Linked DNA regions of Arabidopsis thaliana. The protein of the gene in region 1 interacts with the protein of each later gene in a pairwise test. Each region holds a gene or a part of one and is shown on either strand. Other genes may lie near its edges.

The links. Proteins that work in one complex are often made in the same cells at the same time.
Region 2: the proteins of COL5 (region 1) and TOE3 interact in a two-hybrid assay, tested with the Arabidopsis thaliana proteins (one study listed by BioGRID).

What each region holds. Positions count from the first base shown.
Region 1 is NC_003076.8:23,353,261-23,358,888, reverse strand, and holds COL5 (CONSTANS-like 5), read right to left. Parts: upstream 3,553-5,628; 5' UTR 3,317-3,552; coding exon 2,585-3,316; intron 2,496-2,584; coding exon 2,160-2,495; 3' UTR 1,900-2,159; downstream 1-1,899.
Region 2 is NC_003076.8:26,800,616-26,807,312, reverse strand, and holds TOE3 (target of early activation tagged (EAT) 3), read left to right. Parts: upstream 1-3,063; 5' UTR 3,064-3,378; coding exon 3,379-3,719; intron 3,720-3,802; coding exon 3,803-3,828; intron 3,829-3,935; coding exon 3,936-3,966; intron 3,967-4,067; coding exon 4,068-4,155; intron 4,156-4,264; coding exon 4,265-4,410; intron 4,411-4,513; coding exon 4,514-4,558; coding exon of another isoform or gene 4,559-4,643; intron 4,644-4,649; coding exon 4,650-4,744; coding exon of another isoform or gene 4,745-4,809; intron 4,810-4,819; coding exon 4,820-4,896; coding exon of another isoform or gene 4,897-4,947; intron 4,948-4,984; coding exon 4,985-5,194; 3' UTR 5,195-5,364; downstream 5,365-6,697. Other genes in the region: AT5G67170 (SEC-C motif-containing protein / OTU-like cysteine protease family protein), read right to left, coding at 5,550-5,652, 5,732-5,829, 5,925-6,176, 6,244-6,393, 6,483-6,567, 6,643-6,697.

The sequences.
Region 1 (5,628 bases):
TTTGCATTGTGACTACAAGTCTACAAATAGTAGTTCTATATGTTAAAAAAAAAAAAAAAAAAGTTGGACGTATAAGTATTTTGAAGTGTGTCAACCCATGCATGCTGCATCTAATACATGATTTTAATTTAATATAAGTCCAAGGAACATACATTCGCACACGAGTTATACACGTTGTCATGTAAACTTGGAAATGTCTTTACAAAATAAATTGAAATCAATTAGACTGATAATCATTTATAAAGAATAATAATCGTATGATTAATGCATAATAGACAATGAGTTTGGTGGAAATCACCTAACAAGCTTAATCAAAGGTTAATTGGGGGAAAAACACCACATTTACCCAATTTATTCGTGACACTCAACATCCAACTTTTAATTCTTTGTTTTTTTTTTGTTTAATAAATCAAACTTTAGTTCTATGTATTGTCAAAACTTTTCTTTAATGCGCTATTATTAACGTTATTATGATTGTATATATGTGGCCCCAAAGCATTCGTAGCCACTATTTGCAAATCTCAAGCTTACCTTCCAAAAAAATATCCTGCCTAAATTGCCCCTTGTATCAAGGTCTCTAAACCCACTTGGACGGCAGAAGTCTCATTCAACTATATCTCAATCCAAAGTATTGATCATGAGTTATATATTCACAATACTGTATATACATTTCATAAAAAGTAGCTACATTCTAAAAAAATGTTAACGAGATTATAGCTAGAGGTGGTATGAATTTGAAGAGACTGCTGCGTGAGTTTAGAAGATTATGTGTATGTATTAACAAATTGATATGTCTTTAACATACTTTGTTATATCATACGTATGCAAGTCCTATAGTAGTTGCAAAGACACTACGATATAACTTTTAAGTAAACTATAAGGTAACTTACGAGTAGATGATTTATTAGAAAAACATAACAAGGTTATTACGTGCATATTTTATCAGTGGATCATCTAACAGTCGAAGGTTTAGAATAGTTTAGTGGTTCAAATATATACTCTGAAATATAAGAGATAGGATTCAAGTTTTCCTAGCTACTATGATTTCAATTGTGGTAGATCAGTGTAAACATCTAAAATGAAGAAAATACTCTGGCTCATTCTTAGCCTCCTTGAATGAATATAGTTAACTTAGGTCCGAGATTGTGTAAAGGCTATTAGATAATACGAGATAGTGATACCATAAATCACCGATCACTAACGACAAAATATCACAGTTGAAATGGACTTTGACTTTATCTGACAATAATCACGTTCTTGCAGAGAGATAAGATTGGCTCTACAGCTACCCAAAAGGCAAAGTTAATGAAGTTTCGGACAAAACCATTAATTGCAACCTTCCCTTCTTTTCCTACGATCGATTTCCGGAAAAGCAACTATTTTCACTAACTCTGCGAAAGTTCCAGAGATTTTGGATCTGGAATATACATATATGCCTTAACGAATCAAAAAACTTTTCAGTAATACAATAAGTATTTTCGGAACAAAGAAAACAACAAATAAAAAGCTTTCAACGGTAGATTAGAGAGATAGTTTACACATACGTATGACTATTTTTTCATGATTTCAAACATAAAAAAAAAAACTCACAACTACATGTAACAAAAAAAACAAAAATCCGATGCTTCTCGTGCATGGGATACAAATATTAAAAATGCATGAGCTAGATTGATTAGATAAATCTCAGAAAAATACTTTTGTGTAAGTTATAGTGACCTAAAAATCTCCCCCTATTAGTATTAAATGTCATATAGTTTGTGCTTTCGTTATAATTTATGCTACGTAACAATTACCAAGCCAAAACTCCACCTAATCTGCATCAACAAAACTAGTGACAAGACAACATCAGCCAATAGAGATTAGAATTACCAAATTATATGATTAGCGACAAGACAACATCAGCCAATAGAAACTATAATTACCAAATTATATGATTTCATAACATTTTCTAAATAAAAATAAGCATACATATATAGGAAGAAAAAAAAAAAGAGTTACAGTGGCAGTGAGAGCGCGTAAAAAAAAAGTAATTAAAACGGTAAAGAGGATAAGATGTTTGTCTACGGTAAGACTCACTATACTTATTATACACCGACTGTAAATCAACGGTGGAAGATATGAAGTCTTCAGGTTGATTGTTTATCCACCGTAGATTCGAATCAGAACGTTGGTACGACACCGTACTGTGCGTGTGCTGCTGAAGCATAAACATGACTAAGGAAAATGTCGTCGTTTTCTGTCTCTGTTCTTTTCGCAAACCGGCCTTTGATCCTTGGCCGTGACTCTGCATAAGCTTTCCTCGAAGCGTAACGAATCGTCTTCTCAAATTTCCTGTTCTTTCTCTTCTCTCTGTACCTCAAAACCCTAGCTTCTCTATCCATAGAGCTCGCTTGATGATCACCACCAGTCGTCGAGCTAGTGATCGTGCTCCGGTTAACAGAGTTGTTTGTGTTTCCGTCAGGAACTACACCGTATTCAATAGAAGAAGTCGAAACCTGAAAATCACAAAATTCAAAGATTAGTTTTTTACTGAATTTAAGCAAATTTTATGATAAAAGATTTGATTTTGACGGAGGGAAATTACACTGTGGCTGACTGATTGAGAAGGGTAAGTGAAAGCAGAGAGCTTTGATCTGCAGAAATCAATATCGAAGCAATGATCATTGTTAGTTAACGGGAGAGGCTCTGTTTTCGTCTGAACCGGAACAAGACTATCTCCTCCGGCGTTGTTTTGATGATGATTGAACGAATTCGGAAACTCGAAATCAATAAGCCGATCGAAATCAGAAAACATAAAGTCAGAAGAACCTTTCATGTTTTCAGTTCCGATTTCGATTTTAGCCGGTTCGTTGAAATCATTAGGAAGTAACCACGGACATAAACCGAGATCATCAGCCATAACCGGAACAGCGGTTAAATCAACGGTGGTGGATGAGCCAAGGATACCAAAAGTCGAAGAAGCTGAGATTTTGGCGACGGCGGTTTCGGCTGAGTCGAAGAAAGTTTCGACGGGGACACGTTCGTGACGGCTAGCGAGAGGATTAGCAGAGTGAATATCGGCATCACAACTGACGCAAAGAGCGGCGGCGTCGGCTTTGCAAGTGACGGCGGCGGGAGCTTGTTCACAAACTTCACAAACCCACACGCGCTCGTGGCGAGTGAAGGAATGGATTCTTGTGTCACATGCTATGCATAAGAAAGCTGAGTCAACTCGACAGAACACGGCGGCGGTAACTGATTTACAAGCGTCACAGGAACGCGCCGCCGCGCCCCATCCGCCGGAGATTGATTTGATACTCTCTAAGCCGAATCCCATTAACTATAACTTTTTTTATTTTCTTGAGTTCACAAAACTCTCTCTCTCTCTCTCTTTGAAGTTTTTGTTTGAGAACGTGTGAGAGTTGGGTATTTGATTTGCTTGGATGATCTGTCATGCCCAGTCGGACAGAGAAGAGACACTGTATTTTAACGAATTGTAATATGACACGTGTAAACATGACATCCACATAATAAAATCGAATTATGGGATTTGTTTTAATAAAATCGTGATGGAGATATGTTTTGTAGAAATGAAAATTAGGCTAACAAAATAAAATAATTAGGCTGGTCCTTGATATCGTAATTCATTTTTCTTTCATGTAGGAGTATCTACAAATTCAAAATATTTTATTTCTGTTAACTCCAAAACAAATTTGTTTGAGGTTTTGAATGGATTTTATCTATCATGTCGGTATTGAATTAGTTTTGTTTTGGCTGTTTTATTTGTTAATGAATAGAAATAAAGTTTAATTAATAAACTTCGTATGTTCTTGAGGCATCATTTCGTCTAGGGACCGATACTAGCTTATAGTCTCCTTTTCAAACATGATTTCAAAATTTATTATGTCAATGACTCAAATTCTTCTCACCAAACTAAATATTAAACTTTGATTTATTTTTATTTTTGCGTGTGTATGCATATAACTTGTACATCCTTAAATGAGATAAGCTAAAGCTTGTACATCTTTAAATAATAAGATGATATTAATGACCCATACAATTTTTTCATCTTAAAAGAAAAAAAAAATCTTCTTTCTCGACCAAATGACCACTATGTTCATAAATTTTACAAATATTTTTTTAAAAACTTTAATTTTCTATTTATTTTGTCAAATATGTATTATCTTTTAGAATGATAACTCCGTTACGTAGTTGTAGACTTATTATATACTAGTTGTATCGTATTCTAGACAGGGCCCTTTGAGGATGGATATTCATGGAATTTTAAATAATATTGAAAAAATGGACAGTATGGTCGGCATGATTTAGAAATCTTTATCTACAGTTCGGCATGAAAGCAAATTTGATTTTTCTTTCTAATTACAGAAACTTTGACTTCGAGAAATCATAAGGTATAGCTTTACTTAAGATTTCTTTTTGCGGTTTTAGTAATGAAGATTCGGTAATATATTATCAATAAAAATATACATTTTGTAGTGTGTTATAAAGCAACGTGTTCGAGATTCAATTCTCATAAGATCATACCTTATAATTTATCTTTTCTCTCAAAATATTAAATCTTTCTAATGTTTGCTTTCTGATATAATGTTTGCTTTCTGATATATATTTTACTAATCAATAATCTTAAATGATGAAGTATACTTATACGATATTTTCTTTTATAATGTTTGCTTTCTGATATGTTCTTCTTAGGTAGTAAAATACATTCTTTTTCGTTTACCGGCTAAAAACTGTATAATCCAAAAATTTACACAGGCCCGTTTGACCTAGGGTCTAGTTCCAAAAGGAAGAACAAAGTAAACGCAACGGTTGGTACTTAAAAAGAGAGTGAAAAGAAAAGATATAAGGCAACACTATCAAAATCCTTATCTATCCACGTATACGAAAGAGTTAGAGGAAACATATTTGTACAATAGAAATATTGCGATAGATTTTTATATCACAGTTCTATCTATATATATTACATAGCCAATGATATTTATCTTTATTGTTATCTTCCGACATGAGATCCACGCAAAATTGTTTTGCTGTTTTGGGCACTAAAATGCACTGTATTTTGACCCCATCTCAAGATTTTATCGTCAATTTTAAAATCATGTGCGAATAAATTTTCTGTATCTTCTTTTTTATTATTTTCAATATTTGACTATATATGATTCAAAGTTTAGAAAAGAAGAGTACTTATTACATAATTAGTTCGCCTCAATCAAAAATTAACCAATAATATATCGGAACAGATTCCACCACAATCGAGGATGTTGTCTTTTTTTTTTTTGAGACCGCAAACGAGGATGTTATATAGTACATCATAACAATAATAACATAACAGTTTTATAAACTAGATAAAAGGGAAATAATAGGAACCCAACATATCCGCTTGACATAAATAATGTGGAGATGACAGAATCAGTGTAAGCAATACGCCAATACTGGAGTTCTTTACTCTTTTATTACACTAATCAAAATAAGTTTAGTCAGTGAAATGTGTTATGTATGTCGTCAGTGAAAGAGTTAGCCAGTTAGGGTTTAAGTTTTTAAAAATTATCACTTTCGATCCGGTTTAGAAAACCGAACCGCATCTTGGCATCAGAACTATTAACATCGAACAGATTAATTTATACGTTTATA
Region 2 (6,697 bases), 3.4 Mb from region 1:
TCAAAAAGGCCGAAACTACTGCTTGAACTTGAAGTAACACCATAAGTGCGTCAATTTTGGTTCCACTAATTAAAGGCTCATCTCATTTGGTAAGCCCATTTTGGCGGCCCATGAGACATTGTAATTTTGTATAGCTGGGAGGAACTTGGGACAACAAAATGAAGGTGAGGCATCGTGCAATTGCAATAACTGAAAAAGTAAAAAGATGACTTTGTAAATTGTAATAAAAGATTTCAAAAAATGAAAACAAAAATTCAAAATATATTCATATGCCCCTATCGATATTGTACAAGTCTGATTTATCTTTTTCTTATTTGTCGAATTCTAGTGCGATGCCTTATACCATTGTGGTATGTACTACTTGGAAATCGAGTTGGATGCATTGGTCGAATATATAAAAAAACAGTTTATTTATAGAAAGTTTCTCGAATAAGAATATAAATATATCGGCTTTAGTGCACCCATCAGTTTCTTGAATTCCAATTCGAGACAAAAAAAGTTTTTTACAACTACTAGCTCCGAATCATAGCTTCTAGTCAGATGACGATGCCCGGAGTCGTATTTTATTTATTTCAGCGATTAAGGAGATTATTAAAATATTTATGGTTGAAAATTATTTGAAACGAAATTTGTTAAATCTTATAATCTTGCTCGGAGAATTATGCAAGTATACTGTATACATATATACACAACTATCAACTACAGTGATATAAAAAAGACATTATGATGATTCGAACAGTGGCTGTGTTAGTACTTGTAAATTTGAAAGAGGTAGATACGTAGCATGTTTTTATTCACGTGAGTCACGTGAGTTGTGGAGAGATCAAGCTTCCGTGATCTTAATGAAAAGTGGAGCCCATAATTTCAACTGTCTAGATTCACCGACAGTACGAGGATGATTTTATCGACCGTCCGATGTTTCCAAGCTGTCATCGTATTTTTATTTTTTTTTACAAAACATCAGTAATAATAATAAGATTTTCTAGTTTGAGATGATTGTGCCGACACACTTTTGGTGTTATGTGTCTCTCAATATTTTAAAGTTTGTACGCATTCCTAATTATATTCACTAGTCAAAAGTTTCATACAGCCCACGTTTATCATGTACTTAATTTTAAACAGTCTTTAAACCAGATTAGTTTAATTCATTTAAATAGTAATTACGTTGTTTAGTCAGAAACTGGATTATAGATCATGATAAGGTTGAATAAGATGTGGACAAGCACAAACCTATTTGAAAACGTCGTTATTCACATTATTACGCGTGTTACTTTTGTTAAAATGTGAGTCTTTCGAAGTTTGAAATTGGATTTTGATAATATATGTGAAGAAGTATAAAATATATGAATTCTAAAACCAATAATCCATCATAAATACTGAACATACACATATATCCTAGATTTGATTTCTATAGATTCGCTATTGAATAAAAATATATGGTACATGCATGCTAATCACTGATTAATACTTTGGTAACAATATATCTTCTTGTGGCATCTTCAAATTGGTTGGATTCCATGATAGGGGAAAAAAGCTATCTACAATCAAAAAGAAAAACGCCATCCGATATGATTTGTTAGCGAGACAAATGTGGGGCTAAGATTGCCATTATGGGAAATGTGGGGCTAAGATTGCCATTATGGGAGTCGATATATGCGTAGAGAGAAAGAGGGAGAGGGAGTTTTTGTAATTACTACTTAGGGAAAGAAACAGAGAGCATCAAAGCATCGTCATAGTTCCATTAGGGGAAGGTTTGGCTTTTTCCTCCCCCACTTGTAATATTATTCTTTCACGCTTTGGATCTCCTTTTACCCACACCTATTCTTTGCTTTAGTAACTACTAAACACGTATTTAGAAATATGCGTTTTGAAATTTTTTAAATACAAAAAATTCTGTGTGTCAATATAGACAATTTTATTCGTTCTTTTTTTTTTTGGGTCAGCAGACGCTACTAATTAAACTTGAACTTGTCTCAAGAGAAACATGCAAGTATAAGTACGATTCTGAAAAGAAAATGATCCACTACAAAAAAAATAAGTATAACTATATCAGTATCAAGATTCTGTTAACATCATTATAAAAAAAGTAAAGTAAAACAATAGTTGCATACTTGCATGATGAATGATTAACCAGAGTTATGATTATCTTTTTATAAACGATAACCAACTGTTGCAATAATTTTTCATTGCTGATTTCAAATAAAACATTACTTTAACGATATGGGGGAATTTTTAAGAAACAGTAGAGACGTTAATAAAAATCCCATATGCGAGAAATCTCAAAAAGGTTATATGTCGAATACATTTTCAAATTCATCTATTTTTTTTCTTTCTAATTTTCTTAATTTTTTAAATAAAATGTCGATGTATATGAACATAATAAAAAATGGAGAGACAGGATGATTATTCTTTCTGAGTTGATGTAAATACCTTAAGTAAATGTGAAAACAATGATTAAAAATCAAAATGTGAAGGGAGAGTGAGTACACGCGCGTATAACAAGAGAGTGAAGGTGTAATCAAAGCAATGGAAAGAGAGAAAAAGCTGTTTCCCGTACTCTTGGATAGGGGCATTTTAGGTATTACTTCGTTTTTTTTCTTTTCCCATCACATTATTTCCGTTTCCTTTTCTTCTCCTACGAAACTCTTTTACACGGATTTGTTCATCCTGTTTTTTGTTTTTGTTTTTACACATTTGTAATTTTCTATATTCAACAAATATACAGGGAATTACATTTTTAAAAAAGTTTCGCTCCACTAAACAAACATAAAATTTTGTTTGTAGATAACAACATGATTATGTTGTTGATGTTGAAAATAATCATATGCTGCTGAATTGATGTCCCAATTTGTTTTCGGAGAAGAAAGAAAGATATAAATTATAGTCCTAAAATGATAAATTGTGAGTAGTTGGAGTAGGAGAAATTAAATAGGACAATAAATAAAAAATAAAGATACTCCCATCTACATCCTACATTTTAGTCCATAATAATTTCAGCAAACTTTTGAATTTCTGAATTTACTTGCCCTTTTTATATAAAAGAAAAATGTGATGTCAATACTCAGGAGACCAAAAACTAGGAGACAGTCTAATACACTTGTATTGGGAAAGAATCAATTTTCAAAATGAATTTCTTCATAAATATTTTTTTTTCCTTTGACTCCTTTCATTGATAAAAAAAAATCCTGCACCTCTCTAATGATGAATACTTGAATAGAGTCAGATATTTATTCTATTAAATAATTTAGTTATTTATTTAGAACCTACCTTTATTTGCTTTGATGGTTATTCTCATCTGAGTTTTCTTCTTCTCTCTTATTTCTCTCCCAAGTTTCTTATTTTTTTTCCTCTTTACTTTACACAAAGGAACAACAAATAATGTGGAACCTTAACGACTCACCCGATCATCACGAAGAATCCGACAGTAGAGGGAATCCGGTCGGACACGTGTCAAACGGGATGAGTCAATCTGCAACGTGGCTACCGTTTGTGCTTCCGGTGACCAGGAATTTCTTTCCGGCTCAAAGCATGGAACCGGGAGTTCGTTGGTCCGGTTTCAATAGTGTCGGTAAGTCGGATCCAAGCGGATCGGGTCGACCAGAAGAGCCGGAGATATCACCGCCGATAAAGAAGAGCCGACGTGGTCCTCGCTCACGTAGCTCTCAGTATCGAGGAGTTACGTTTTACCGACGAACCGGAAGATGGGAGTCACATATTTGGTAAATCACATAATACCTTTTAAAACCATATGTAGTGTTATCATTTCAATTATTTTCATAAAATGTTTTGGAATATTATGCAGGGACTGTGGGAAGCAAGTGTACTTAGGTATGGTTCATATACATAAAAATTACGATTTAACTTTTGTGTCTTCGATTTATTTGACAAAACAAAGGGTTTTGTTTCCTTCTAATTGTTGTTACATATATATGCAGGTGGATTTGACACTGCACATGCTGCTGCTCGGTATATTTTCGAACCTAGCTAACGCATTACTATACTAGTATCATTTTTTGTTCATTATTTTGTTATTGGCTATAATATGGGTCAATAAATATTTGAGACAGAGCCTATGATCGAGCGGCGATTAAATTCAGAGGTGTAGATGCAGATATTAATTTCGACATTGAAGACTACCTTGACGATTTGAAACAGGTTCTATATAAGTCTTTTATGGATATATCTACTTTAGGTTATACTAGTAATTTAATTACTTACTACTCAGAAGAAAACACAATGAAATATTGGTTTTTTTTTTTTGCAGATGGGAAATTTGACAAAGGAAGAGTTTATGCATGTACTTAGAAGGCAAAGCACTGGGTTTCCAAGAGGCAGTTCTAAATACAGAGGTGTTACTTTGCACAAATGTGGAAGATGGGAGTCACGTTTGGGTCAATTCCTCAACAAAAAGTATTAATTTCTTCATAGTTTTTGGTGCAAATATTAAATTTCCAGTCTGTTTCTTATTAATTTGAAGTGTCCTGTTTGCTTTTTTTGTTTGCTATCTTTTCAGGTACGTTTATTTGGGTCTCTTTGATACCGAGATTGAAGCTGCTAGGTACTTCTTCATTATTCACTGTCTCATCACCAAAAAAAATATTTACTTTTTTCCTGGTACGAAATATGAAAAAACTGAAATTTGAATATAGAGCTTATGATAAAGCGGCAATAAAGTGTAATGGGAAAGACGCTGTTACCAATTTTGACCCTAAAGTATACGAGGAAGAAGAAGATCTTAGCTCAGGTAAATTTATTTTTACTTTTTTTTTTTGTCTTAAAATTTACTCCAGTCACCAGATTCTATTGTAAAAATCAACAGAGACGACGAGGAACGGTCATAATCTTGGTCTAAGTCTAGGAGAATCATCATCTGAAGAGTTTAGACTCAAGTCTGATGTAAGTGTTCATGTTTGTGTATGTATATTGTTTTTGTCGGAAAATAATTAAATTGGTGATATAATTCATATGTATGATAATTTTAAAGATTGCAAGCATAAGAAGTAGGATTAGAGATGAGGAGAGATTATTAGGGAGCGATCTATCGCTAGCAATGATGACGACGACTGTCAGATCGGAAAAGCAGCAATCGGACGGTGGAGGAAATCGAGTGGTGGGAATGGCAGCATCATCAGGATTCTCTCCTCAACCTTCCCCTTACCGCATTCCTCGCACCTTCCACTTCTCTCGTCCCTGATTCATCATCATCATCATCACTATCATCACAATCATCATCTGAGCTAGTGTTAACCAAGTTATGCTTTAATGAATTTGAGTTATTCTCGAGCTATTTTTGGGCTCTGTAATACATATATGTTCTTGAGTACGGTATAACAAGTTTTTTTCTTTCTGTTAATTTAATCAGACAACAAAAAAGGTATACTCGCGAGTGATCCTAACTCCAAGTTCATACTAAATTTATGTCTTCGCCTGAAATAGAGAGATAACCAAACGGATTTAGTAACCAATTACTGTTCTTGCTAAACAGATAAAAGAGTTTGGTGTGAATAAATGGAGTGAAAACGTGATCACCTTGAGTGAGTGAGACTTAATTATATACAAAGAGCACCAACATCTGGTGCATTTGCTTCAACTTCATTCGATGTTCCTCTTCTCAAATTCTTTCTCCCCTTCTTCGACTCCATTGTTTGGCTCCTGCAAATTAATCAAGAAACACTCATCTTTAGTTAAGTTCTGCTTTGAGTGTTTTGCAGAACCGTTTTAAGAAACTTACACTAACAGTTTTACAGAGGATCTCCCAGTTGCTGTTCCACAGCAGGACTTGTATTTCTTCTTTGAACCACATGGACATGTTTTATTCCTTGGGATCTTCTGCAGTTTTCACAGAAATCCTTTTATATTCGGATCATATTTTAATGCAATCATAAGGAAATAAGCTATCTCATGGTTTAAGCGAGCCAACAAACCTTATCATCGGTCTGTGTAGTGCACTTGGCTTGGACTGTTTCACTGTTATTGCCGCTAGCTGATTCCTCCTCTATCAATTCTTCTCTGGCTTGCTCGGTGTTTTCCATTGGACTATCACTTGCATGCTTTGGGTTGATGGTATCTGATGCAGAGGCGGTTTCTGTATCATTTTCAGTCAAAGACTCCATTCCTTGGTCTGCTATCAGGAATTCTATAGCAGCATCCACATCACCATTAACTTGTAATAGAACCTAAAGATAAGAGAGGACTAATGATCATGATATTCTCTCAAACATTAACCAAGCATCGCATTATCACCTGTTCAGCTTTCTCAGTATTGTCACAACAACTACCAGACATGACAACTTTGATAGCTCCAGCATTCACATGACACTTATCAGCTTTATTTTTGGACTTGCTCTCTGTAGCTTTCGCTTGTTTAGATGCTGCTGAAACTTTAGCATCAGCCTTCCACACAACTGGAATTTATTAGGACAGAAAAACAGACAATTTATGTATATTACAGATAAACACAGAGCTAAAGTTTGAAGTAAAACCTCTATTACAACAGGCCTGGCTGGTCCTCCACAAGCATCTTCCTTGGAACGCACACTGTTGTAGTGTTCCCCATCATGGTAAGACCTGAAAGAGAAACTATTAAAGTAAAAGCAAATTCAAACCGATAAAAGAATCATTAACAGAACCAAGTATACTTACAGATGGATCATGCGGGTTCGCGTATCTTCAAAGTTGCGTATATACCAACGCGGTG